Linked DNA regions of Oryzias latipes. The protein of the gene in region 5 purifies or fractionates together with the protein of the main gene of each other region. This does not show direct contact. Links are inferred from orthologs where the notes say so. Each region holds a gene or a part of one and is shown on either strand. Other genes may lie near its edges. The genes, in order: napa, vamp4, vti1a, stx12, stx8, vamp3 and vesicle-associated membrane protein 8-like.

Region 1 (3,719 bases), on a different chromosome or scaffold from region 5:
TATATGCAAAGTGCTTTATAAATAAAGTTTTGATTTGATTTGATGATTAAAGCCGAAGGTTCACATTATTTCTCTCATGTTGTGCTCAATAACGCATAGAGGTTTAAGGTGAACATTTTTCTTTTTCAAGAGTCATCTTTTAAATGCAGAAAATAGTAAAACCCAGATGCTTTTCATTTTTACAACTTTAAAAAAAAAAAAAAAAAAAAAAAAATTCTAAGAGTGTGGATGACAGGACTGTGTTTAACATTTCTACTGGTTTCATTAAGCTGTGCAACACTTGTGAATACAGGGTTCAAACACCGGCACGGAGGTAGAGTGTCCACCCTGAAACTGGGCAACTGCACGCCGCAGTGGAGAGTTCAAATAGAGTGTAAATCAAAAGAACAATTGAAAAGAAGAAAAAGGTAAATAAAAATGTAAAAAAAAATAATTTCGCAACGAAAAAGTTGTTTAAATATTTATTTTCTCTTCAAATTTGATTTATTTAATTAGAAAATTAAACATTTACGTCTTTTAGAAGATAAAATGCAACGATTCGTATATGTTTGGCAAAATAAAAGTGTATGTGCAAATATTTATATACATATATATGACTCTTAATTAACCAAGAATGGATATTTCATCAACCATATCATAAAAAACATGCCGACAAGTCTGCTAATCTCTTCAAATCACTTTAAATCTCTAAATCTGTTCAATTTTTCATCCTTTGCGTCGCTTTGGTCTGGAGTAAAACTGAGTGGTGCTTCTTCTTCTGCGTTTCCATCAGTGGCAAGTACTGGCACGCCTATAGCGCCCTCTAGTGGTTGTTGCTATTCATTTCAAAAATATCACATAAATCACACCTCCAGCCAAACTACGCACAAAAAACCCACCATGACCTATTCTCCAAAAAATACGTATTTTATACTTTAAAATAAATTCTTGGTACTTTAATGGTAATTTCTTGAAATATTTCTGTTGCCAGGAACAGTTTCTACAGATGTTTTTATTTGTATTTATTTATTTTACTTACACTTGTTTGTCAAGACAGACTTATTTTGCAAACACTTTTTTAAGAAATAAAACAAACATATTCTGTAATCTGACCTTATCGATGTCCAACAGCTCGGTCTCATAAATCTCAGCAATGGTGATGTGGTGCTTTGCTGCAATAGTGAAACGGCCCTAAAATGGTAAAAAGTCAACTGTAAAAATATAAATAAATAAAAAAGGAGCACATCCTATGATTTTTTTTTTTTCTTCCCATTTTAAGTGAGCTTGCAGCTTTGAAACTCACCATGTCGGTGTAAATCTCGATTGCTCGGTTTAAGCAGTTTATGGCCTCTGTGGAGAAAACAAACAAAAATAAAAGGTAAAATATAAACTGGTGGAAAGAAAAAAACAAAACTGGGGTTTAATGGTCTCATGTTGAAAAATAAAAGGAAACCAGAGCCGTCTCTTTAAGCTGTTTCTAAACCGCCAAGCTTGAAAATATAAAAGTTTCCTCAGTCCAGAGGGATAACATTTCTTATTGTGTTGCTTTTGCACGCAAATTAAGGGACCGGTTAAATGTTTAACCACTCAGTTGATCTGAATACTCTGTCAAATCGCAGCAGACATGGACAGGCAGAGCGTCTCCTGCTGCAAACCACCTTTTGAATTAGAATAGGGAGTCTACAGATTTACAAAAGAGAATTTAAGGATCTTTAATACCTTTTTAAAGAACACTCAAAATCCCAATTTAAGACTGTATATTAAAAGAAAATGAAACAAACAGCTGAAGTCTGTGGTTTCTTGTGGCATTTTTCTGATGAAGGAGGACATATATAAATGAAATTAAGATTAAAATTGCATTTGAATATTGCTCCACTTCATCCTGATGCATCCACTTGCAGACACATAGATCCACGAATGTCTTTGTTTTCCTCGTCTGATCTGGAATCTGGATCAAAACTGTACGGCTGGATGGCTCCAACATTGCTCGCCACTTTTGTTGCACTCGTCATGTTAAGTTGAGGGTGTGAGAGGCTGACAGATAGCAGAAGAACGTATAAACAGAAAGCTCTCAGTCACGGGTGACGGGAAAGGGGGTTGCTCCACGCCAACAGTCAGAGAAGAATTTCAAAGGAAACTATGTCCTAGAAATAATTTTGGCTAAAAACGGCATAATCATAAGTAAAATAACCCACTGGGAACGCTTTGACAATAGATCAAAAGATGATCGAGCCAGCCAGTAGAAAAATGTTTAAAATACTGAAATGTCTTCTTAAAGCTCTCACGTCAGGGGAAAAATGTTTTGGGGTTTGTGATCCTCAGGCCTGAACTCATAGGAGGGTTAAAAGCTAAGTTTGTGTGAATTTCACATCGTCGTTTCCTCATTATTTGCCATGGCCCACAGGAAGACAAGTTCCAGCTGTTGTGGCATAGTTCACCGTGTTAGAATCAGTGGCTGCATCTGAAACCTGGACCTAGCGAGTGCCACGTCGCCCGTACTAGTTGGTTCACTTCTAAATCCGACAAAATTAGGTCAATTTTTTCGAAATATGGGGATCGCCATATTGGAGCCGTCTGTAAGCGGTGATTGGTCCGAGTCGGACTGAATCCACATTTTTTAGCCAACTACCAATCGGGAGTCTGCAGCACGCTGCACAAAATCTGTCAAACATTTGAAATGTTGGACGTGGGGGCCAGCAGGCTCCTCCTTTTATTGAAGCATCTAAATAAGCATCAAATAAGTAATAGTTTATTACTTGGAATAACATAAACTACACAGACAAATACCATAGAAAGGGTTATCAGTTGCCAATTTCCATTTATTGTGCTTTTAATTAGGCCTGCACAATTAATCGCAAATTTATTGTTATCGCGATTTCAAGCTGTGCAATATCCAGATCGCAAAAGTCAGCGAAAATTTGCAATAAATGGTAAACTTTAAATGTGCTAAAACAATCTTATGGCAACTTTAACTATTTAATGAATTGAATAAATCCCTTTAGGCATTTGACCAATAGGATGGAGCTCTTACGTTAGATGTTGCCCTGCTAATTAGATCAGGGTCATTTGGAGAATAATTTAAGGTATTTTTACTCTTATTTAAATTAAACATTTGCAGGGAAATAGAAATGTTTTTGTTGTTTTTGCTAGTGGTTCATTTATCGCAAGTTATATCGTCATCGCAATATTGATCACTAATATCGCATATCGCGAGTTTTCCTCATATCGTGCAGCCCTACTTTTAATGTTTATTTTTGAACTTTGTTTTGTACAGTGTCCTATTATTATCAAGAACATGTTTAAAAAAAAAAAAGGTATTAGAGCAAGAATGGTTATTCTGACAAATAGAGTCAGTTTGTTTCTAAGAACACAATCAATCAATCACTTCACTAAAAATGCTGAACACTGATAATCAGTCTTCGTTCCAACAGAAAGCATCCTTCTGAATCAGATATGACCAACAACTGAATCATCCCAACATCATCCCTGGTCTGCATATTCTTTTTGTTTTTTTTGTTTTAGGAAAGGCGTGAAGGCCCACGTTCTCCAATGTTTGCATATTCAAAGCAACCTGTCATATATTCGAGGAAGCAAGTTCTGTATCACATCAAAGCCATTTCTATATATATATTTTTTTTTTTTGCAGGTGTAAAACCTAGAAATGTCAAGTTTTTGATAAACACTTGACAGCAACCCAAGGACCTGAGGTTGATCTAGTTAATGTGTAGACGAAAAATAGA
Region 2 (4,301 bases), on a different chromosome or scaffold from region 5:
AATAGGTCAGTGGAAGTGCGATAGAGTCTGCTGCCGCTTTTATAAAATATGGTTCCAGATCATCAGGACCAGCAGATTTAGTAGGATCAAGGAGTTTAAGGGCTTCTGAGACTTCTGAAGTTGTGAAGAGGGAAAATGAGAAATTATGTATTAAATCTTCGTGATTCACAGGGAGGGAGTACTCAGCTGAATGTTTTATAGAATTAAATAATGATCCAGAGGAAACAAAATGCTCATTAAAACATAAAAGCATCTCTGTCTTGTCTGTTATATTACAAGTGTTTTTCATTATACTTGAAGGGAGCTCAATACCTGAATTATTTTCATTTAGGGACTTAACTATCTTCCAAAACTTTGAGGGATTATTTAAATTTTCTGTAGTATTTTTCAAAAAATGGTCAGATTTCACATTTCGAATTGCAGTAGTGCAAGCATTGCGTAGTTTTCTGAATGCCAGCCAGTCAGATGCATTATCAGAATGTCTAGCTTTTGCCCATGCTACATTCCTTTCATGTAGTTGGTTAGCCAAATCTGAGCTAAACCACGGATTATTACGACCTTTCACTTTATAGTGCCTGATAGGAGCATGTCTATCAAGGATTTTTGTAAATTCATTATGGAAATAACTCCAGGCCCTTTCAACATTATCAATTTCCATCATCGTGTGCCAGTCAAATTCATATAGTTCTTGACAAAAGGATTGTTCACAAAATTGCTTGACATTGCGTTTTATGATAATGTGTGGTTTGGTTTTGGGCATTTTTGTGTTTCTCGATGTAGCAATGATACAGTGATCACTTATATCATTTGCAAATACAGCAGCAGTTGAATACTTTGAAGGAGAATTTGTAAGAATCAAATCAATTAGCGAGGATTTCTCCGGAAATTTGGGGTTAGGTCGAGTAGGATCATTTACTAATTGAAAGAGGTTCAGGGAATCACAGTAAGATTTAAAATCATCAGAAACAGCTTGCAACCAGTTCCAGTTTAAATCTCCAATTATTACAACTTCATTGTATTTTAAGGAAGACAGCAGTTCCATTAAAGAGGGAAGAGCAGAGCCATCAGCAGAGGGCGCTCTATAGCAACCAACTAGGGTAATATGCAGAGAATTAGAGATCTCCAGATCAAGAGCTAAAAGTTCAAATTTCTTTGCCATTGATGTTTGCAGAAGAACTTTTGCATTAAGTTTAGTTTTGATATAGATGGCTATACCTCCCCCCCTTTTGGGACGATCAGCCCTAAAAACATTATAACCATTGATATGTATGTCAAAGTCAGTTATTGATTTGTTTAACCATGTTTCAGAAACAACAATTACATCTGCTTCAGTTGAAATTGCCCAAATGCGTATCATATCCATTTTAGGCAATAAACTCCTTACATTGAGATGAATGAATCCAAGACCATTACGAGATTTGAAGTCTTCAGGAGTACTAAAAGTAGGACTATCTGGTCCAGGGTTTGGTGGAATATTCCCGGAGATTAACAACAATAAGAAGATGAGGCGTCTTTGAAGTTGTGGTTTCTTACATACTGCATTTGAAGGTCCTAGAGATGGGAACGTTTTTAAGAATGCTATAGTAGAGTTTATAGTAAAATTCTTCTGAAGAACCATTACACAGCTGAGGTGCAGCAGTTCATTTGGATTGTCTGAGAGACACACAGATGCGTATGCATTATGACATTCATGAATAAAAGTTTTTGTTCCAGCATGAAATACACAACACACTGGATTCACTGGACGGGAGTCATCTGACTCCCGAAGAGCTACGGCAATGCCAAAGTCTCCGATGGAATATAAGGCCAATGTTAGCAGGAAGAATATTTCAGCCCTTGATATTATTTGCCGGGGGCTTTGAAGGAAGGTATTTAAAACTTTGGCCATGGCAGCCTTCAGTCCAGATATCTGCCAGAATCCAGTTCGGGATACACCGAGAGCCGTTTTTTTTTTTTTTTTTTTTTTTTTTGTTTTGTTTTGTTTTTTGTCAGACGTCCTCCCGTGACGTGCCACACAAACAGCAAGGAACACGGAGCTTGAAAGCTGCGGGCAAAAAGAGCGAAATTACTGCCCAAGCTTAGTTCAACTTTAAATGGGTATAGATCACACGATCCGAGGGTTGAATCAAGCACTTTCCTTCACACAAAGATAGCAAGCTCATCAACCAGCCAAGCGCTCCTGGATCTGCTTCGGATAGGGCATATCACACAGGTGCTAGGAAGGCAGGACGGCATCAGCATCTCAACTTTGGCAAAAATATATACAATAGTGCGCCAGCTTCGATAGAAGGTAAATTGGGACTTCCCTTAATTGATGAAGTATAAGGCCCGTCAAGGTTAGTCACGCCAGGAATCCAGCGACGATCACCCGGTGATAATCTTCATGATGACCGCATACAGTTCATGATCGTCGAAAAAATAAAAAATAAAAATAAAAAAAATAAAAATAAAAAATGGAGCGTTCCTTCGAATATCAGTGAACCAACCCTGGTTTTGGGTCTTAATGAATCGAGTAGGCTTTGACTCACAGAGTTTCGGAGCTAGCCTTTCTAAAAACAAGCACGGTAATTGATAAACAAAATACCATTCTCAGAAAGGCCAGAAACAACTATAAATTATAATCTAAAATAGCTTAAAAGTCGTTAAGAAAAAATAAAAATAAACTCATTCATTCACAGGACGCTAACAGACAGACAGAGTGCGTGCTGCCATCTTGGCGTCTCGACCTGTGCACCAAATAAAAATAGGACGCCCAGACATGGATAACCAGGGGGGTATTCCAGGGAGCATATTAAAACTACCCTGACTTTAATCCTGAACTCTGGCTGAAATCCGCCTGAACTTGCTTACTCTGGGTATGTTGGTTCCAAAAGACCGGATATGAGTTAGCGTAATTACGCTCGACTTGGTAACCCTGGGTTAATGCACGTGCACAGCAAGTACATAAAGACATTCTCAATGGATCACCGATTTCCGGAGTCACCATGGAAACGCGTGGTGAAAAAAAGAGAGCGCTACAATTCAGTGAGACGGAGTCTGAGATTAATGACGGCGTATGAAGATTATAAACCCATCAAAAAAGTAACACGGCTGCATCATCAAAAGAAAAAAGGAAAAAAAAGAGTTTCTGCTTGCAGAAAAATAACGGACAAAGTAAAAGCAATAGTTTCTGATCTTATTTCTATTATTCTTGTGACGCATATATATATATAACTTATCCAACTTAAATGAATTACTTATTACTTTATTCAACCTAATTTCTTACGTCTATCCAACTCAATATTTCTTTTTACAACTCAAATTTACATATTTATCTAACTAAATATCATATTACTCCAGTTTAATTAAATGTTTTTCAATCTTAATTTATTGCAATTCTTGAACTCTCCTATGTCTAAGAGGCTGCAGATTTTCTCATTTTTATAACAATAAAATGAATGAAACAAAATGGAACCACATTATGAAGTCTGTTCTCTGACTTAAATATTCCTCCACTGGGCAGTAAAGGTTCTAAATAAACTCGTGATCCTCTTCCTCCCTCTCCCTCATGGTGCTGAAAGAATTAAACATAACAGGGTAAAATAACTTGGTAAAACACATTAAAACAGCTAAACAACTAAACACATTTTGTCAAAAAACCACACTTGAACCCAAATCCGTCCAGACAGGCAAAGTGAATGGTATCCCACAATCCCTTGCGGTGCCGATCTAACAGCAGCACCAAAGTTACACCTACTTAATTGAATTAATTTGAATGAAAGTAAAATAACTGATAACTACGTGTTATTTTTAAGCTGACTTAAAAATGATTTCTCTTAACTGAAGCACATAATTAAGTTAGATCAAAGTAAAAAAGTTTATCTTTCCAACATCCATATGTGGTCTTATCACCATTTCACTGTGGAAAAAGTATTATCTGAGCTTCTTCATCCACTAAATCATCTTCAAATGGACACGCCATGCTGCTTCACCTCTCTGAAAACAAACTAACCTTCAACTAAACCTGCTCCAGACCAGGTTATGTTCAGAGCATGAGTTGCCATGGCAACTTGACATACCCTGAAACATACCTCTGTTTTTGGAACTGAAAGCTGAGGTTATCAACTTCCTTAGCCTCAAACTTACTGTGGTAGCTCACATAACCTGCTTTCTGGAACAGGGCCCTGGGCTTTCAGTAGTGCTACGTCTGAATCACTCAACACCGCATAAACTATTTTACGATGCAGAAACGAGCTTTGCGTTGCGTATTGATAATTCCTGTAGCCATGATAAATGCCTCTAAATAAACTGAATAAACAAAA
Region 3 (4,156 bases), on a different chromosome or scaffold from region 5:
CTAGAGGCCAGTACCAGATGACTGAGTCTATGATTGCCATGGTTGAACATATAGCAATGACAGAGAGGGCTATGATTGGGCCCCAGTGGCACAATCTTCGAACCTCATGGAGGTTCTCGAATCGAACTAACGCTGAAAGGAAATTCATATTCGTCCCACTGGAAGCTTAAGAAAATGTTCTTTTTTTTTTTTTTTTGTTGGGGACCTGAAATGTTTGGACTCTGCCTGAGTGTGCTACTTGTTTCTTATATCTTGCAAAGTCAGCAGTGCACACATTTTTATTTTCATCTTTCAAGAATCCAACTACATCCCTGGTCTGTGGTCACCCGGCCTTTCCGTGTCCCGGTGTGTCTTGCCCTTGAAGAGCGCAGCATGCTCCCCTCTCAAATCCTGAAGCACAGGAACCTTGTGAGAGTCCGTTTACCCATCTGATGGAGAGAAAGAGAGAAAAAAAGGGGACAAGCATTTATCATAGAGTGCTAAAAGAAAAGGCTATATTTCCTCTTTATATATGCAAAATAGGTGCTATTTATCTGGAAAACAGGTAGTTGTGGGTCACATATTGACTCCTATCTTTATATAGAAATCTATATATTCTAAAGAACGACATAACTATAATGAAAACACTTTTAATGGTCAAATTAATTACGTTTTATTGTTTTTTAAAAACAGAGATATTGGAAGGGTGAAGCTTTGAATGAAAGAAGAAGAAACTCCATGCACAACTAATTAGCTTGTCAAGTCAAGCTTAGCTAGCAAATTCAAAACAACATTTTAAGCTAATTCCAACAAGTTTCTCTATGTATCAGGAATTCATACATTCATACTAACATCTTGCAAAATTGTAATTAGCTTGGCTGTTTAGATAAACATGTTTCGGCTTAAGAGTAGATGCATGCAGCAGGTAGCGAAGAAGTGAGGTTGGTTAGTTAGCTAGCTCGTTCACCATCTTCCACTACCAGCACTGACAGGAAAACCATTTCAAACTCGAAAAAAGAAAGATGAATCAAACATGACACACGAACGTAAAGCTACGTAGAAATAAACACATTGAATAGTGTTTCAGTAAATAAGCTGTCACTTTAAATTAGTTTAACCTTACCACTTGCACTTCGGATTTTTGTTTTCCTCCCCTATGTGCCCTGAGAACCTTCCTAGTTGCGTCTCGGATTGAAAATCCGTCAACTACAAACAGTCAGATCAAATTTAAAACAAAATGAAAAAATATATGTTTTGTTAAATAACACAACAAAGAGATAGGCGTGATAGTTTTCCGAAACCCTCTCTCAGTAGTAGCGCCAACAGAACACCCAGTTCCTAGCCGGACACCTTTTAGTGTGACTCAAGGAAGAAGCTTGTTATTATTTTGAGCTAACTGTCAGCCCTAGAGCTACTTTGCTACCTAAACGTACTGGTCAAAATGTCTTCAGACTTTGAATCCTACGAGCAGGACTTTGGAACGACTACAGCCGAGTTAACAAATAAAATCGGCAGAATTCCCAAACTAAGTGGAGGTAAGACTTTTACCATTTTAGCGTCAATTAATGATGAGCTGGCAGGCTAGCTAGTAGTAGCAAGAAAGCCTCAGTTCTAGTAGAAGGTGTAGCTTTAATTGTTAACTCTAACTTGTTTGAAATCGTTATAAATATATTATGTTGATACATTTACACGTTTATATTCGCCGTGTGACTCAGTTACTGTGCTCTTTCTGTAGGAACAAAAACAAGTGACCGACTACCTGTGGTTATAATAAATTAATGGTAGAGGCCAGTGTCAAATAGAAACATTATGTCAAATTTATATTATAGATTTTAAGATTATAATTTAAAACCAAAGTTGTTCTTTAGCTTTAAGCAACTGGTTTTAAAGTATTAAAATATTTAAGAAAAATACTTCTAGATTCTACAGATGGCAAGAAACTCCTAACCCATCATAGCTGCTGCCTGTTTTCTGTCAACTTACATAATAGTATTAGAACTGTGATAATCTCTATTCTCTTTTACTATTCTAACATCTTAAACACTTTTAAAATTTAACATCATCAATAATTGTGTACTTAAGCTTCATTTAATTGACTAGAAACATATGTACTTTCCTATTTAAAGTACTCAGTTTAATTTATATCCCAGGGTATTTACTCCACTAATTTGAGAATGGGTTTCAACACTACTAAAAATGTCACTAACATAACAAGAGAGCATATGTGTTCAAATGAAAACAAAAGATCCAAAGTGGAACGTGCATTTTAATAATATTTAGTGGTCTACTACCATCAAATAGTCACCATTTTAGACTTTTACATCCAATGTTTGAAAGCACTTCTATCAATTCTTCTTAAGCCTCTATTTCTTATTTATGCATTTAGTTTTTCTTTCCCAACTATTGCTTAACTTCTGTTAACTTACTGTAGTAAATGAAAACCTTTTCACGATAATTTTGAGGATTTAACTGCAAACCAATACCCTTAGCAAATCAAGTTGTTGTGATATGTCATAAGGTTTTTAATCCCAGTGGGATATGATGCAAAAAGACAATGATTATATTGTACACATGCCTCAGTTAGTTCACATAAAACAATCAAACCATATAGTGTTGGAAGTCTGAACCTAATCATATTATTTACTTAAAAAATATGAACTGCACTGTCATGGTAAGCAATAAAAGAGACACTGTACATATTTATCTCACTTTAAACACTTCTTTGTCACATATGTCCCTGCATATCCATGAAGATGAAGACATTTCTACAGCATATTTTAAATTAGTTGCACATCTTTATTATGTCAAAGCACGAGGAGGACATGTGTTGGTCACAATTTGTGTTTCACAGTAAGACCATATTGTATTTGTCACTTTATTTATGGCACTTTGCTTTGTTTGTATAAGAAAGCATTACTACGGCAGTTATATGGATCACCTCACTGAAACACTTATATTGCAGCCTATACGGAATAATATGCAGTTCATATTGTAACTGTCACAAAATAGTGTGAGCAGATTTCAGATAAGTAGCATATAGTATATTATAAGAATGATTAAGTATGAATGAAGAGTGAATGAATAATGGACAAATTGTTAGCGCTTTGAGCACCAAGAAAAAGCACAGATAAATCTAATGAATTATTATTATTATTATAAAAGACATGAATGAATACAAATTTAAGTCTTTAATTGTAAAAAATCTAACAGAACTAAAAAAAAAACTTAAAAAAATTCACCTGAACATGTGAAACAATGTACTGCTGGTTAAATGCGTAATAGCAATAGACCGGTCAGTTTATTTATATGGCGTCTTACTATGACCGTATAAAACAAGGAGCTATTCATTGAAACTCAACACATTAAAACAACAGTTTAAATGATAACACAATTTAAAAGTTAAATAGTAAAATATTTATAATATTGGAAAATAAAAACACAGTCAAAATAAAACACACCAACAGAGCAGCGTCTAATGGGCAAAAGCCTGGCAATAAAAGTTTTCAGAAGCTTTTTATAAATAGACTGTGAGGACGCTTAGCGAGGCATTCCTCACCTTTGGTGCACAGACTGAAAAAGCCCATTCCTCCTTTAACTTTCTCTTGAACTTTTGTACTCTAATCAGAACCCAGTCAGCTGCCATGAGGCACTGACTGGCATGAAGGGAGAGACAGGCTCAAAGAGGCACGGTTAATTAAAAAAAATTAAATGAAACGGAAGAATCTTAAAGTTAACGTCCAAAATGCACTGGCAGCCAGTGAAGGAAAGCTCCAATTGGGGCGACGTGGTCCCTCTTTAGTGTTCTGGACCACTTAAAGAAGCGGAAGGGACAAGAGGCTGACTCTGAAAGTTACAGTAATCCATTTTAGTTTCTGATGAAAGCATGGATTACTGTCTGAAAGTGTAGTCTTGATAAACAGCGTCACCTTCACCAGCTACCTTAAAGAAAAGAAGCTATACAAAGCGAATTTAGCTATCACGTTTAAAATCACTGTCCGTTTCTGACCTAGATTTGTCCCAGACTTTTAAATGTGAATCAGGAGAATCAGATCTACTGTGGAGGGGTCACACGACTCACTTTAAACTGTCTAAAACAAACTAGGACATAGTTAATTATTTGTTTTTCTAGAAAATCCTATAATTGATAATGACACAGATGTTCTGGTTTGGATGTGAT
Region 4 (4,265 bases), on a different chromosome or scaffold from region 5:
TAAAAGGAAAAATAAGGAATATTGTGGTTGTTTTCCACACTTTTCCTGGTGTTGTGTGAATCCATTCCTGAGTCTCACTCACTGAGAGGCGGGATCCCGCTCTGGCTCTGGCTATGGACTCCCGCTCTTTCTCGGCTGCGTGTCGCTGAACCGCCTGGAAGTTGTTGAGCGCCGCAGAGAAATCACTCATGAGCCGGTCTCTCTGAATCTTCTGCTGCCTCTGGACAGAGCAGAGCACCCAAAGCACATTAGGAGACACTTTTTAAAAAAGCATTTAGATAACGGTTAAGATTTTAAAGTTCAATCCTGACAATCACTTTCCAACATTCAAGCAGCAACATTGTAACTTAACTCCTATTTTTTCCTAAAGATTTTCAGGAAAAATCCCTGCTTCCTCTGTATCGTTTATACATAAACTCGGCTTTCATCTCCTGCTTAAAATTTACAAAACAAAAAATTAGCAAATCTCAACTACAAGAATCGCCTTCTTTTACTAATATCTGATCACTTCAGAGGTCACAACAGCAAACCATCTCCCTCCAGTTAAACCTTTCTGCTGCAAAAATACTTTGAAGTACTGCTGCACACCGTGTTTGGAATACTGCAGTCAGGGGAGACAGTTTTGGTAAAAACTCAGGATTTGGTCTTCATGCAGACGTTTCAACAAACTCCCACTTACCTGTTCAGAGGGGGATAGAGGCGCAGGGACAGAGCCTAGTTCTTTAAGGTGTTTGTTGGTTTCCTTCGCAAGCTGGTTAGTGTAGTGCTGGATCTGCTGCCTGCAGAGAAAACTGTGCATCAATAAAAACAGGACTGAACATCAGCCACAAGAAGAAGCTGCTTCCCAGATTCAGGCTATTACAGTCCCAGCCATTCTGCTCCACACTAAAGCACACTCAATGTGTAATGCACTACTGTTAATGCATCTGTAAATTGCTTTTATTGTCAATTCAATTCAAATAAAGCTTGAAATTTTTAATTTTCTTAGTATTTTTTTTTAAATCAAATAATAGAGCTTTTCTACCAGCTCTGAAATAAATCAAAATTTTAAAATTCTTTGCAAAGTGAAAACACGCCATCAAAAAGTGTGACACATTCATTTAGTCGCAGAAGACAAAAGAGATTATTGAAGTTTACTCCACAACCACCAGCAACAGTCATTTAACCTCTTCCTGGTCTCACAGCATCACTTAAATGTGCAAAGCAGGAGGACTCCTGGGTCAGTAGATGTAGGTTTTGTAGCTGAAACCAAATTTTGTCACCAAAAAGCCTGAATTATAACAATTTTAAAGGTTTTACTTCTCAATACATATGATTAACAACAGTGTGTGCAAGAAATGCATGTAAAGCAAACTGGCTGTGTTAGTTTTTTTTTTCATATTGTCTTAAACATAAGTCAGGGTGCCTTATTGAATAATTGCATCAGTGTTGGTCTCATATTCAGCCTCATTAGGAGGTTATTACCAACAAAGATAACACTGATATTTGCATCAGATGTTAACCAGCTAGAAAACCTCCATCTGCCTGTGTTTTCATTAAAACTGGTAGAAAAAAATGAAACAAGAAATGATGACATACAGACGATCGTGAAGTTCACTGGAGTCTTGCCTTGTCCCTTGCTGGTTCACCATGGTCTTAATCTGTGCGGCTGTCAGGAAAACAGAAACAATCTTAATCTCCAAAACCTTTACTCAGGGATCATCTGTGTGCACAGATATCAAACAACAACACAGAAAAAAACACAAAAACCAATCCAAACCGCAGAAGCAAACGAGCTAAGAAATAGTTTAGTGTCCATTCTTGTATAGACAGCAGAAAATGCAACTTAATTTGTGAGTTTTGTACCAAAGAATGTAAGCACTTATTTACTGTACACATCTCAAAAAGGAAGCAAACCTGAACATTTAGAATAGTGTATTTTCCTGAAGCACTTGTGATGAATTAGCCATGTGATTGCTTAACCTGGATCTCCCCCCCTGAACAGGCCTGAGTTAAGCAGCAGATCATCACGATTCTTGTAAGCATTCTCACATGACTTCTTCCTGAGCCAGTGACTAACAATGAGTCTCAGCTCCCAGCAATGGAGGACTCACTGTTCTGTGTGATCTTCTGGATGTTGGAGCTGCATGTCTGAATAAGGGAGCCAAAGTCCCTCGGGACAGGGCGGAACTCCGCTTTACCGTAGGACATGTTTGAGGCGGAAGGCTTGGCTTTGATGTTGAGCTAAAACTGTGCATGCAAAAAAAGAAAAGGAAATTTGAAAAAGGCCACAAACTGTTATTTAACATGAATAATTCAATCTAAAACTCCAAATGTAGGTCGGAGGGAGAATGCAATCACGCTTCAAAACTTACTAAAACGCACAGACTAAAAAGCTGACATTTATTAAAATCATCACACAAAATTATAATACAGACTAGTAAAGTATATACAGAACTGTTAGGATTTCGCTGCTTTTTTTTTTTGACATGACGCACACCATAAGACCCGTACGCTTATTTAACTAACCAGCAGATGTTGACTTATAGACAAACATGAAGCCGCAACGTTAACATATTGATAGTATAACCACAACAATGTTACCAGAGCGACGTTCTGCTAACGGAATTTTACATCACAGAGTGACATTCCCAACAACACGTAGCGGAACGATGCTAACGTGTTAGCTAAACGTGCTAACTTCTAAGCGTTAGATTATAAACGATGAAATCGTTGCGTTGCATATTTAAAATAGCGTTTAATCGACATTTGAAACTACGAAACAAGGTAACTGACGTTTATTTTATACTTGCATATGATTCAGCTGAAGAAACAAATTCTCGCCCTTCGATCAGGGCTTGGTTCCGGATTCAGCTGAGATCACCGAGCCCTACTTCCTCTGACAACCAATCAGGTCACGCATTTGAAACCAAACCACCAATCAAAACGCTGTAGCGTGCCCGGGTCCAGTGAGCCACCAATCAAAACTGAGCATTCGACTTCCTGGTATGTGACATTTCGGTATGACGTTGTTTTTTGTTGTTTTGTTTTTTTTAAATGCTCATACAGACCAAGTAAGGGTGAACAAACGTTATAAATGCGCATATAGAAAAAAAAGAAATTCCCGGGTCCAGATTTTTCATATAGAAAAGAACATCAGATAAGGAAAAAAAGGGAATATTTAAAACTTTGAGTGACAACCAACTGTGAATATCAGTCCAAAATATTTTTGCAACTGTAAAAGAGATGTTCTACGTTTCAGTTTCAGATGAACAGAATATGCGTGGTTCTGATTGAAATTTGAATCTTTTATGTAAAAAATCTCCAACAGGGTAAATTTTAGATATTATTTTAAAATGCGTTTCTTTCATTTTAGGTGGAAGTGGGTACTTTGTGTATAAAGAAAAAGATTTGTCCATTAGGGTGGTTTCTAAGTCGCGTTCATTGTTTATGCTAAAGTTGCAGAAAATTATTTGTTTAAAGGTTAGAGTTTATTGTTGCCTTTTTTATCTTTTAGGGGAATATCATTAACTTTTCCATTAATTCTGGAAATTGTGGTTTGATTGCATTGTATTGTAATATGTTATGAATAAGATTAAGTAAAGGTATGGTAATTGCTTAACAGACTTTGCTATAACAGTTACTAGAATCCTTAATTTTGTATTTAGTTACAAACCCATTGTATGATAACAGCATTCCATCAGTACGCATCAAGTCATAGACAAAACACACACCATTATTCAGAAATAAACAAGGATTTATTGTTTACAGTTATAAATCTGCCGCCACCAGTGTGTGAATGGGTCTGTGTTTGTAAACCGCTTTGGGCCTTGTAGGTAGAAAAGCGCTATATACTGTAAGTGTACGCCATTTACACCATAACTGCGGGGTTGAAGATGCTGCAAGGGAAAACATACATGGAGTGCCATTATCAAGTGGCTGGAATAATATACAGAAACACGTGTGCAGAATATGAACTGGAAACCTCAAAGTCAAAAAGAGAAACACCTCTGAAGGTGATAGAGAATGAAAGGGCAAAGATCCTGTGGGACTTCCAGATACTGACTGACAGGATGGTAATGGCGAACCAACCAGACATTGTAGTGGTGGATAAAGAACAGAGGAAAGCCGTTGTGGTGGATGTGGCAGTGCCAAGTGATGGGAACATCAGGAAGAAGGAACATGAGAAACTGGAGAAATACCAGAGACTCAGAGAAGAACTGGAGAAAGCCTGGAAAGTGAAGGTGACAGTGGTGCCTGTGGTAATAGACCTTTTTCACACTTCC
Region 5 (4,232 bases):
AAGTGGAACGAGCTTCTTTAACCTCTTACCACCCGAGCTAACATTTGAGCTAACCCTCTAAGCATGAGATCACAGAGTTACGCAGAATTAACTACTGTGGTAAAATAACCCAAAATGTGATGCCCACGCATGTGGACGCCACGTCCTAAGAGGTTACAGTTGCTCAGAGGAGGTGTCAGGAGTTTCTTCGCAGATCAATCGATTACATTTTTGGAGCAGATTTGAATAGAGGACAGTGATAATTTGGTTAACTGTACTGTTGATTCATTCAGAACCTTTACTAAATCACTACACAGCTTGATGTGTTAGCAAATGCCGTAGTCTGAACTTCCCTTACAGGTGGATACGGGTGTCTGCAGGCCAAAAATAGGCAAACCTGTATGGGGCCCGCAGTGGCCCCTAGGAAAATTTCAGATGGCAGCAGCCGGGTTTACCCGTTGAGAAAAAATGTTCATGCACATTTTTTTTCTAAAACTAAACAAACGTAATATTTACAACCATAAAGAAATTAAAAATATAAAAAATGTATATAATGGTATCCTAACTTTTACAAGGTTGACATTTTGAAACGTCTTTAAGTGACATTTCTAAGCGCAAAGCAATCAGAGCAGATGCAAAACAAAGCTGTCAAAATGGCAGGAAGGAAGTCTTTCTTCTAAGTGACACGTGGAGATATCAAAGCACATGGGTCGAAAAGACTGAAAGGAAGATGGTGACCAGCAACATTTCATTAAAGAATAGGGCTTGTGACCCCTTTGGTTAAAAACAAATACAAGCAGAAGAGAATTCCTTCATTTTAATTAGGCAGCCGTAGACCTCGATATAGTAATTAAATAAGTGATCCTCTAAGAAAGAAGAAGGCAGGAAGAAGAATCAAGGGGGCTGATGCTCAACTTGGCCTTTAAGACACTTACTGAGGAAGATTTTAAAAAACATTCTGCACCTAATGATGCAAAGATTTGAGAAAACTTCCAGTTTCTATCTTAGTTATTATAAACAATAGAGATTAGATTTTTGAAAGACTGTAGATAAATTCTCTGTATGGTAATACCTGGTAGTCTCAGGCTCTGTGACGTCTCCTCTGAAACTTGCATTCAGCTGCTTTTCTCTGGTTAGCAGGTCATCAACAAGGTTCTGTCTTCTGTCAGCTTCTGCCTGCATTCTGATTTGAGCTTGTTAAGAAACAATTTATTATAATATTCATTTATTAGAGCATTGTCTATGTCCTCCTGTCTATCAGAGAGAAGGAAAAAAAAAGTCCAGTTAAACAATCTTTTAAATCCACTAAAACTACAGTTCCCAGAGCCCCATCCCTTCACATTTGGTATTATTGAAAGGTCCTAAATGACCTCTGTAGATACCACAAGAAGTCAGTAATTTGCTTTGGTTGGGAGATGTTCCATTTTAGAATGTCCCCTACAGAGGACGAATTTACATTGCTAGTCAAGAGGATACTATATTGCAAATAAAGGATGTTTCCTTCTTTTGCATAACTCTACCGCCCTCTGTAGGAATTCCACTGTTACTGCAAGCTGAGAAAACACTCCAGGAATGATTCTAATGCAAGTCCCATGACTCTCTGTGCTTGGGTATTGTAATTGGAAAGGATACATTCGCCGAGATGAAGATGTTCGCAACAAGCTGTCTTTAAGCTGGGCGTTATTCTGCTTCAGTTTCTGGAGTGAAGCCCGTAATGTCATGTTTATCTGGAGAAACAAACAAATGCAAAAAAAACAAAACACTTTTGTATACAATTAGGCAAATCACAGGTTTAATTTTCATTGAATATGAATATCCAGGACCATACCTTAGAAGGGTTTCCCCCTGTTCTCTGCTGTCTGTTCCTCTCATGAATGTTTTCTGCTATTTCCTGTGCTAGACGGCACGTGGCATCATAATTCTGTAACCTACAAATGAAAAGACTTCATTAAATGCAAGTCTCTACACTTTAGAAGTGCATACGATGCCAGACAAATCCGAAGGACTAAAATTAGAGCATTTTGACAATTTTCAGAGTGGATTTTAGGAAACAGCAGCGGTATAAAAACCTTTTGAACAAACATTTATTTACTCAGCTGGAATTAAGAGGTTTACAGGGAGGAGAGGTGAAGAAGGTGGAGGACTTTAGGTAGTTAGAATCTGGAAAAGAGGTGGGAAAGCCTGTGCAAGCAGGTTGAAGCGGATGGAGGAAGGATTCAGGCCAAATGTCAAGAATAGTAACAGAAAAAATGAAAATAAATGTGTAGAAGAAGGTGAGAGCAGCCATGTTGTTGATTTAGAGAATCTGAGAAAGAGACAGGATGCAAAACTGAAGGAAACCGAGCTGAATATGTTTACGTTCTCTTTAGAAGATCGATGGAATCAGGAATGAAAACATCAGAGAATCCGTTTATATTAGGTGTTTTTGGAGATAAACAGGGAAGCAGGTTAAGAAGAGGAACATAAATTAAGTATACTGTCCTAAGTTTTCACATCCATGTGTAGCAGACGTTTTTTCTTTTCACAAACACATTCAAACGTAACATTAAAGTATACGACTTTCGCCGGTTTGTTTTCCCCGTTTCTGAAGCTAAATCTTTGGACTTTCTTAGCATTACGTTGTTTAACAACTAATAACTTAAAGAAATCTCAGAAAAATCAAGTCAAACAGACATTACTATATAAAATGCTTCTCCTAAAACACAAAAATAACTTTTCTACTAAATATTTATGTGGCTGTTTTTGGCTAATCTCTTCAAGGAACTAGCTACTAAGGCTAACTGCTAGCAAAGCAGTTTTTAAAGATTAAAAACCGGCATTTTCCTGGAACTGATCCACTCTTTTGTTAAGAACAGATATCATTTCCTACCAAAGGTCTTGAGACATTGTGACAACAATTAGATATAAAGAATAAATTCCACGGAATAAGGTCGTAATCCCAAAAAGTCACTTGTTTTGATTGTGACGTCACGACTACGGCAAGCGGTGTGCTACATCCGTTCGCGCTGCTCATAATGCCGCAAAGGGAATTCATGAATGTTCTCCCCCACTTAGGTATGACTTTTTAACAAATTATTAGTTTGTATCAAATGTAATTTATATTTAAAAAACGGTGTTTATTTTCAGATGTCTGAAACAGATTTCGTTTAAATCAATCAGATTATGTGTTCTCCTATTCTGAACAAAAGTATTAACATCCCACTCTGACCATTTTTTGTTCTATTGTAAAAGCGTTTCCTGATGTTTGTTGATTATTATTATTCCGTTTTTAGTCAAAATTAAGCAAACAAACAAACACAAAATAAGTGTCTGTTTTTACAACATAGTTTCTGCAGAGCGGTAGGAGTTTGTTAGAATTTGTCTCTGAGATACAGGAGGGACTGTTGGTGTGGAGTAAGCCCATCCCACTTCCCAACATCCATCTGTTGACTCGTTTTCCACTAGCTTACACCTGTAGATTTTTCTTGAGGCTCACAAAAAACCCTGAAGGAAAACAAAAAGAAACATTTTAATCAGGTTGTTGTACAGAAAAAATTATTTATTATTACTATTACTTTTTGTTCATTTTTTCACAACTGTATGTCCTTACGTGAGCCATGACGTTGGTAAAACAGAGAAAAAGAGATTAGTTTTTGAGCCATTTTGTCTTTATTCTACAACAAGAGAATGAAAGTAGAAAAATCCAGTTATGTGTTTGCTTTGTGACTTTTTTTTGTTTTAAATATGCCTTTCAAAAATCAATTGCATAATTTGGTGTAATTAATGGTAAAATAAACATAATAAGGGCAGCTAAAAGATACATAACTTTATTTTCAATTTTGTCTATTTAAAAAAAAGCGTAATTGAAAATGCTCATTTATTTAACTGAAGAGGACAAATACTGAAAAAAAGACCACAAGCACAAATTACATATCCGTTTTTGTGGTTTACGCTTCTTTATCACACATGTATAAAGCAAAAGGAAATCTATACATCTTAAGAAGACCAGATGAAAAAAAAAAAGTTTTAATTCTAAGCAGCAAAAAAATATTCTAAGAATTGTCTTCAAACATGTCAGTCTAATTCTGAGTGACCTATTTTCACCCTCCTCTTGTTATGCTCACCTCTGTTTTCCTTAGAGTAAACTGAAACGACAGATCAACAGCATGTCTTGTTCATGAGTGTTTTTAAAGTTCACATCAGTAGGACCCACAAGAGAGGTAAGTGGTTGTAAAGGTTTTATGTTTCATAGCCAAACAGTGGTCGTGTTTGAG
Region 6 (4,217 bases), on a different chromosome or scaffold from region 5:
AGAATTTTAATCTGAGGTCATGAGTGTTTAAGAAACCAGCACATCAGTCATGAATTGAGCATTGCTGCAAGAACTATCTCTTCAGGAAATAATTTAGTGAAAGATTAGGTTTTTACAGTTTAATTGTACTTAAAATATTTACATTGGTTAAGTGATTTGTAGAAATACAGCATTTTAAAGAACGTTTAGTGTAAAGCAAACACCTCCACAAGCAAAGAGATCTTTTGGGAGGATATTCTTTTTAATACTTGGTTGTTCAGATACAAACAATAATCAGTGTAAAGGGTATTATTCTTTTAAGTAACAAAAAAGCTCCACAAACACGGGAGAGCTCTTAAAACCAGACAAGATTTGATAATGATATGGGATTATTTCATGACAAAATATACTGGTTTATCTAAAAGATACAGTCGTCAAACAAATAAAATGTAAACACAAAAATAAAGGAAAAGACACAAGAGGAATAGAACTCAATCAAACTGTCGTCACAAAATTTGTTTCAAAAACATCTTAAGAACTGGTTCAAGACGCTCCCACAAATAATGCCTGTTTACCTTCTTCAATCAAACCATGCCATCATAAATGTCAACAAGTTAGAAACAATGTTTTTATGATTGTATAGTGCTTGTGATTGTCTCTCCTGGTTTTAAATTATCATTGTATTGTTACCACTTAAGATGTTTATCAATTCCTACTGTTCTATTATATTTGTATTTAGTTTTTACATATTGTTTATACTGCTCTTTTTTATTTATTTATATTGCATTTTTACTCTTTTGCAAGCTTGTTATATACTATAATTCTACTTTTTGTTCATGTTGTATTTTTGCTGGAAATTTCACATAGTTTTAAGGAAGACAAGGTTGGTACCAGTCCAAGGACTACTGATGAATAATAGCTTTATGATGTTTTTTAATGCACAATATCCCTGTTAAATAAACAGATAAACGAACAATTATTTAAATAATATGTCCCTCATATTTGTTTTTTCTAAACAAGCAACAGTTTAAAAAACGCTCCGTTTCATCTTTTATAGAAAAAATAATAATAATAATAATTATTGAGGTCATCATCCAAAGTTAATATTAACTTACAAAAAAAGTTGTATTTTAGTTAAATCTCCTTCCAGAGAATTTCTACTGCTGAAATTAAATTAAATTTGAATGTCAGTCACCGTTCCCCAACTCTGTTCATGAATATGTCAAACAAGTCTGACTTTCATCAAACCTTATCCTAATTATTATGCTCCTATATTTATGCTTTTTATAGTAGACATCGGTGATGTTATATTATTAAAAATAAAAAATGGTACATTAAAAAACCAAACAAACAAACAAAGAGAGCAAGATATTGTGTTGTTGTCACTCCAAACTAGCAGTAATCCGCATATTATGAATGTATGTGATATTGATATTGCGTTGTTAAACTATATAATATGGGCAGCTAACTAGAAGAAGCGAGGCCGACTTCAGACAGACAGACCGGTTCAACAGAAACATAAACTTGACCGTACTTAACAGATAGTCCTTCATTATATATTTTGAAATTTTAAATAAGTTCTTAACCACCTAAAAAAAACGATGAAAGTTTTCCCAAAAATTGACTTTTAAGTAGCAACAGCGCGCGACTGCTAACGCTAGCTTAGCTTTCATTACCTTCAGAAGAGAAAAAACGAGCTAACCTATTTAGCACTTGTTGCATGCTAGGAGCAAAGTTTAGGGCGTTCTCTTTTCGGCGTTTCATAAACGGTAACACGACACACATTAGGTTGAAAATATTTCAAAAGCTACGAAAACAGGTTTATAGACTTACATGATGAAGATTATTGTGTTTTAACGACACCGCCGCTGTTTCTCGATAGTTATTTCTCCGCCGTAACAGCTAGTGCTGTCGTTTGAAATGCTGCCTTCAGGGTCGTCGGAAACGGGAAATACCAAACAGTGAGAATTATTGTTCAAGATTGACTAATTTCAAGAAACTCCGTTTCAAATGGTTGTATGGTTACAAAAACTGAGATGTGGTAAAGATAAAAAATAATTCATAACATAAAAACGTTATTGGGCTTGTTCAAACAGACACTTTTGCAGAGAAATATAATTATTTGATCAACCATTCTTCTTTCTACCCCTAACAGATGTAAAGTAGTAATTGTTTACTGGATTTAAAAATAATAAAAATAAAACATTTAATTCAGTGTAGTATAGACAGTCTTAAAAATTACATTTTGAAGTACGGAACACCCTCCCCCCTCACCCCAAGATCAGATTTCAAGAACTCAAAAGGTCCAGTATCCTTGTTTAGACAAAATCTCAATACTCAATAAAAAATTAAATCTCTGTGTTCCTGTTTGTTATCATAGAGTGTAATGTGTGGAGAAAGCAACGACAAGCTCATGATCAGCATGTGACAGGAAAACACACAAAAATTCCTTTAGCTGCCTGTAGTTGTTCACAAAGCAATTTTATTTTATAAAATGCTCAGAGAAATAGAATAGTCATTAAAGAAGACAGACGCAGAAACTAAATGGATCACTTGTGAATTGAATAACAGATATTAAGAAAAAACATCACAAGTTTGAATAAAAGAAGTTTAATAAGTTCTTAACCACCTAAAAAAACGATGAAAGTTTTCCCAAAAATTGACTTTTAAGTAGCAACAGCGCGCGACTGCTAACGCTAGCTTAGCTTTCATTACTTTCAGAAGAGAAAAAACGAGCTAACCTATTTAGCACTTGTTGCATGCTAGGAGCAAAGTTTAGGGCGTTCTCTTTTCGGCGTTTCATAAACGGTAACACGACACACATTAGGTTGAAAATATTTCAAAAGCTACGAAAACAGGTTTATAGACTTACATGATGAAGATTATTGTGTTTTAACGACACCGCCGCTGTTTCTCGATAGTTATTTCTCCGCCGTAACAGCTAGTGCTGTCGTTTGAAATGCTGCCTTCAGGGTCGTCGGAAACGGGAAATACCAAACAGTGAGAATTATTGTTCAAGATTGACTAATTTCAAGAAACTCCGTTTCAAATGGTTGTATGGTTACAAAAACTGAGATGTGGTAAAGATAAAAAATAATTCATAACATAAAAACGTTATTGGGCTTGTTCAAACAGACACTTTTGCAGAGAAATATAATTATTTGATCAACCATTCTTCTTTCTACCCCTAACAGATGTAAAGTAGTAATTGTTTACTGGATTTAAAAATAATAAAAATAAAACATTTAATTCAGTGTAGTATAGACAGTCTTAAAAATTACATTTTGAAGTACGGAACACCCTCCCCCCTCACCCCAAGATCAGATTTCAAGAACTCAAAAGGTCCAGTATCCTTGTTTAGACAAAATCTCAATACTCAATAAAAAATTAAATCTCTGTGTTCCTGTTTGTTATCATAGAGTGTAATGTGTGGAGAAAGCAACGACAAGCTCATGATCAGCATGTGACAGGAAAACACACAAAAATTCCTTTAGCTGCCTGTAGTTGTTCACAAAGCAATTTTATTTTATAAAATGCTCAGAGAAATAGAATAGTCATTAAAGAAGACAGACGCAGAAACTAAATGGATCACTTGTGAATTGAATAACAGATATTAAGAAAAAACATCACAAGTTTGAATAAAAGAAGTTCGAGATAACTTGTGTTTGAATCAGTTTCAGGTACACACAATAACAATGGACATGGATCATGTCTCTCTAGATTAAGAAAAAAATTTAAAAAACTAAAATCTATTTTAGTTAGAAAAAATAATAGTCTATTTTCAGGTATTCTGAAAAAAGGCGTTATATTTTCAGACTAAATGCAGACATCTCCAGCTCTCATTGCACACACTAATTCTTGCAATCAGGTTTCTTAATGTTTTTGCTTCAAAATAACATTTCATACATTGATCATTTCATACATATATATATATATATATATATATATATATATATATATATATATATATATACATACAATTTTTTTTTACTTGTTGAAAGATCTACTTTGATTTATCAAGAGTACATGCTAGCTGCAATAATTTGCAAGGTTGTGGTTTGTCTATTTGCTGTTTCTCAACTGAGGTGGTTTGCGTTTTGGCTCCGTTCCAGATCCTTCAAAAACCTCAGCTTCCTTTGCAGCTTCAGTTGGTTTCTGGGGGGGAAGTTTTTTTTTAAATCAATGCAGAGGTTTTAGTTTTATTTTAAACACAAATGTTTATCCATATTTTAAAGGTT
Region 7 (3,421 bases), on a different chromosome or scaffold from region 5:
GTCCGTGTCTTCCAAGCATTTGCTGCATTTGGGGTTTGTAGATAAGCAGTCAAGGCTTCCATGTATTGATGAGGCTAAAAAGGTTTGACGGTAGCTCCTCCCACATGCATCGGGAGCACCAAGTCTAAGCGTGAAGCAGAGGATTTGCCGTTTGTCAAACAGCAGGCAGCAGACGGGAGTTTCGCGTTCGGTGTGAACGCAGCATTAGTCACTACCCTTGACGATATTTCAATCTCCTCAAACCATGCGCACTGCGTAGGGAGCCGGTTAGCGCTGGTCAAGTGATAAGTGGACGCTCCCCGCGTTTAGCCTGACTGTTCGAAATGAGAACATTAGATGCACCTCACTTCTGACTAGATTGCTACGTGAAGGGTTAAAGGGTTAAACCAGGCTGAACTTTGACCAATCAGGGAGTCAGATTTGGTAGAGGCGAATGGAAGACATCTTTGTCATTCAAGGAAGTGTCAACCATTTGAACATTGAGCATGGAGGAGAAATGAATAACTGTGATTTGTGCCCAGATGGAATTCTTTGACTTCAAGTCTTTTATATATTGGAATGAAACTGTGAAAGAATTCTGCTAACTATAGGTGGTGGACATGTGCTGGTAAACAGCACAGGTTCGCTAGTCCAGTGTGAACACCAAGGGCTTAAGATGTATACGTAGCTTGAGACTGGAATTGGGAAAGTAGTTGCTTATTTTCCTCTCTAGCAGTAAATTCTCTCAGGAATCTGATGTTATTTCTTTAGTTTAATCCTAGAATATTGATGGTGCCTGTTCGTCAAAGTGATCTCCATGCATGAGTCGTTCCTTCTTTTAGCTGCTGTCTTCCATCTGTCACATGACCCCACCACCCTAGTTTGAGGTCTTGTACCCGATCCATCAGAAGCATTCCCCTCCTGACTGGCTTTCTTCTCTTCTCCCCCCTCCCTCGCACAGGCTCAGCACTTCAAGCACACGGCACAGAAAGTCGCCCGCTCTTACTGGTGGAAGAACGTCAAGCTGGTGGTGGTGCTGGTGGTCATCGTCCTCGTCATCATCCTCATCATCGTGCTGCTGGCCACCGGCGTCATTCCCACCGGAAACCCCGTGCCTCCCATCGTCACCCCCACCACCAAACCCTGAGCCCACAGCAACACTCGGATAGCTGATACATGGATGAAGCACACACATCCCAGTTGCACACTGTAATGTACAGACTCTTGAAAATTACTCTCCTATGAAGAAATATTTGACACTTTAGTTTCCTCTTAATCCGGTTCTTCTTTGATATCAGCTGCTTGTCACCTTCATCATGTGATAAAGGAGCGTCTCCTAGTTATTTATAGAAGTGAAACGCCTCCTGTTGGCCACGTCAATATTGCATGCAATGTCCAATTATCTAAGACTATTTTATTTTATTTTTTCTGTTACAAACTTCTGTACAAGTTGATCTGTATTAAATTGATAAATATATCTGACGCTGGGCTGAATCGCACATTAGAAGTAAATGTTACCAGTTATATCAGTCATGTTTGTTTTATCCAAAATCCACTACTTTTTTCTCTCTGCTCATCGTTTTTGGAAACGTGGCTACAGAAACAAAGCCCTGGAGTTTGTTACACTCAGATGGTACTTTTCCAACCTTTTGAAGGGGTCAGTGGTGCATTCAGGGCTGAAAGCGCTGAAAGGCAGAATCGTGCAGAAGTGTTTTGTCATTGGATGAGATGTTTACACAAGGTTGTACAATTTGGTATGGTTCTTCATTGCTGTTTTCTTTGATTTTTCTTTCTCTGCCGGTCCCTCTGCCGTTCATGTTACAACACGAAGCCCTTCCTTTGCGGCTTCATGTAGTAAAACCAAAGCCAGCATGAGGATGATGAGAGGCTTTTCCAGCCTATCAGCTGAGAGAAGCCATTTAGATCATGTGCCTTTCGCCCCCTTCTGGTCTAGTCATGCCAGTCACTGCTGGAAAAAGTCAATTTCAACGTATTCTTACTCCCAGGATGCAAGTTTGTGTTTCTCGTCCCGCAGCATTGATTTATGCTTCTACTTAACTGTAAATAGCTGACATTTTCTCCAGGTTCCATAACTAATCAGTGTCTTAATCAAAGTGTTTCTTGAAAAATGTAATGGTTTATTTTTTGCATCAAATCAATTAATATTTTTGTCAGTTTGAGCAGATAATTTACATAGAAATTAATGGTAAAATATTACAGAAGAAATGTTTGTATGTGTTTAGTTTCTTCTGTACGTGCGTCTCTGATAAAGCTGGGCCTCCGGGCCTCCTGGTCGCCGGGCCTCCTGGTCGCCGGGCCTCCTGGTCGCCGGGCCTCCTGGTCGCCGGGCCTCCTGGTCGCCGGGCCTCCTGGTCGCCGGGGCTCCTGGTCGCCGGGCCTCCTGGTCGCCGGGGCTCCTGGTCGCCGGGGCTCCTGGTCGCCGGGGCTCCTGGTCGCCGGGGCTCCTGGTCGCCGGGGCTCCTGGTCGCCGGGGCTCCTGGTCGCCGGGGCTCCTGGTCGCCGGGGCTCCTGGTCGCCGGGGCTCCTGGTCGCCGGGGCTCCTGGTCGCCGGGGCTCCTGGTCGCCGGGGCTCCTGGTCGCCGGGGCTCCTGGTCGCCTGATCTGCAGTCTTTCTCTATTGCATGAGATCTTCCTCTCTTCCCTTCTAGTCTGTTTAAGCTATTTACGACTGCTGCTGTGGTAAGGCGTCATTCTGTCAAGTTTATCTCTTATAGAATTGTCCAGACTTTCTGGTATTTAATGGTTTTATTGGTGGATTCAATAAATAGTATTTATGTCATTCATCCTGTGTCGGTGAGCTTTTCTTCTTTCTGCCTCAAAAGTGCTAAAAAATGCCCTGATTGGTTAATTTAAAAGATTTGAAAGTGAATTTATAAATGTCCAATAAAAGAATAAAGTTCACACCAGTGCTCTTCACTTTTTTCTTTTTGAAACAACTCTATGCAGTTGTAATAAGTTACCTTAAACAACATGTTTAACAAAAGAATAAAAGAACTTTATTTTGACATACATAAAGTTTTGTGATGCTCTAAAACAGGGGTTTACAACCTTTTATGCCAAAATAGCCACTTGGGTTTGTTTCCTAGTGACCAAAACGCAGCAAGAGCGAAAAAGTCACTTTATTATTCAGAAAAGTACATTTTATTTATGATTGTGTGACTATTAAACCATTCACTTAAAAAATGTAGCCTTTATATAATACTTTCTGTTAACATTTTCTATTGATAACAACTTTAGCTTCTACTTTTGACAGCAGCTCATACATGTTCCTTTCAAAATAAAATACGCCTTGTGTCAAATGAGATCCTCGCTGCAGCAGATTTACTTGCAGGTATATACTTTTAGTAACTTTGCCTATAAGCAGCAAGAAGACACTACTGTGCTGCTGAAGATAAGAATATGTATTTTAAAACTATTCCAA

The links.
Region 1: the proteins of stx8 (region 5) and napa purify together in Homo sapiens (affinity purification with mass spectrometry; 4 studies listed by BioGRID and IntAct, with this or other methods). This does not show direct contact. The link is inferred for Oryzias latipes from reciprocal best matches to the Homo sapiens genes STX8 and NAPA.
Region 2: the proteins of stx8 (region 5) and vamp4 purify together in Homo sapiens (co-immunoprecipitation; 3 studies listed by BioGRID and IntAct, counting the BioPlex papers as one, with this or other methods). This does not show direct contact. The link is inferred for Oryzias latipes from reciprocal best matches to the Homo sapiens genes STX8 and VAMP4.
Region 3: the proteins of stx8 (region 5) and vti1a purify together in Homo sapiens (affinity purification with mass spectrometry; 3 studies listed by BioGRID and IntAct, with this or other methods). This does not show direct contact. The link is inferred for Oryzias latipes from reciprocal best matches to the Homo sapiens genes STX8 and VTI1A.
Region 4: the proteins of stx8 (region 5) and stx12 purify together in Homo sapiens (affinity purification with mass spectrometry; 3 studies listed by BioGRID and IntAct, counting the BioPlex papers as one, with this or other methods). This does not show direct contact. The link is inferred for Oryzias latipes from reciprocal best matches to the Homo sapiens genes STX8 and STX12.
Region 6: the proteins of stx8 (region 5) and vamp3 purify together in Homo sapiens (co-immunoprecipitation; 3 studies listed by BioGRID and IntAct, with this or other methods). This does not show direct contact. The link is inferred for Oryzias latipes from reciprocal best matches to the Homo sapiens genes STX8 and VAMP3.
Region 7: the proteins of stx8 (region 5) and vesicle-associated membrane protein 8-like purify together in Homo sapiens (co-immunoprecipitation; 5 studies listed by BioGRID and IntAct, with this or other methods). This does not show direct contact. The link is inferred for Oryzias latipes from reciprocal best matches to the Homo sapiens genes STX8 and VAMP8.

The regions. Positions count from the first base shown.
Region 1 is NC_019871.2:5,024,869-5,028,587, forward strand, and holds part of napa (alpha-soluble NSF attachment protein), read right to left. Parts: intron 1,330-3,719; coding exon 1,283-1,329; intron 1,171-1,282; coding exon 1,093-1,170; intron 1-1,092. UniProt on the Homo sapiens protein: Required for vesicular transport between the endoplasmic reticulum and the Golgi apparatus. Together with GNA12 promotes CDH5 localization to plasma membrane.
Region 2 is NC_019862.2:3,865,030-3,869,330, reverse strand, and holds the start of vamp4 (vesicle-associated membrane protein 4), read right to left. Parts: upstream 2,850-4,301; 5' UTR 1-2,849. UniProt on the Homo sapiens protein: Involved in the pathway that functions to remove an inhibitor (probably synaptotagmin-4) of calcium-triggered exocytosis during the maturation of secretory granules.
Region 3 is NC_019877.2:9,985,593-9,989,748, reverse strand, and holds the start of vti1a (vesicle transport through interaction with t-SNAREs homolog 1A), read left to right. Parts: upstream 1-1,316; 5' UTR 1,317-1,420; coding exon 1,421-1,514; intron 1,515-4,156. Other genes in the region: palmitoyltransferase ZDHHC6, read right to left, coding at 1-148. UniProt on the Homo sapiens protein: V-SNARE that mediates vesicle transport pathways through interactions with t-SNAREs on the target membrane. These interactions are proposed to mediate aspects of the specificity of vesicle trafficking and to promote fusion of the lipid bilayers.
Region 4 is NC_019869.2:17,750,761-17,755,025, forward strand, and holds the start of stx12 (syntaxin-12), read right to left. Parts: upstream 2,909-4,265; 5' UTR 2,793-2,908; exon of another isoform or gene 2,776-2,792; intron 2,230-2,775; 5' UTR 2,191-2,229; coding exon 2,094-2,190; intron 1,649-2,093; coding exon 1,579-1,648; intron 780-1,578; coding exon 680-779; intron 221-679; coding exon 83-220; intron 1-82. UniProt on the Homo sapiens protein: SNARE promoting fusion of transport vesicles with target membranes. Together with SNARE STX6, promotes movement of vesicles from endosomes to the cell membrane, and may therefore function in the endocytic recycling pathway.
Region 5 is NC_019859.2:9,119,015-9,123,246, forward strand, and holds the start of stx8 (syntaxin-8), read right to left. Parts: upstream 2,973-4,232; 5' UTR 2,866-2,972; coding exon 2,849-2,865; intron 1,908-2,848; coding exon 1,808-1,907; intron 1,707-1,807; coding exon 1,612-1,706; intron 1,163-1,611; coding exon 1,052-1,162; intron 1-1,051. UniProt on the Homo sapiens protein: Vesicle trafficking protein that functions in the early secretory pathway, possibly by mediating retrograde transport from cis-Golgi membranes to the ER.
Region 6 is NC_019863.2:28,591,623-28,595,839, reverse strand, and holds the start of vamp3 (vesicle-associated membrane protein 3), read right to left. Parts: upstream 2,962-4,217; 5' UTR 2,854-2,961; coding exon 2,852-2,853; intron 1,942-2,851; exon of another isoform or gene 1,815-1,941; coding exon of another isoform or gene 1,813-1,814; intron 1-1,812. UniProt on the Homo sapiens protein: SNARE involved in vesicular transport from the late endosomes to the trans-Golgi network.
Region 7 is NC_019867.2:25,800,784-25,804,204, reverse strand, and holds the end of vesicle-associated membrane protein 8-like, read left to right. Parts: intron 1-940; coding exon 941-1,126; 3' UTR 1,127-2,783; downstream 2,784-3,421. UniProt on the Homo sapiens protein: SNAREs, soluble N-ethylmaleimide-sensitive factor-attachment protein receptors, are essential proteins for fusion of cellular membranes.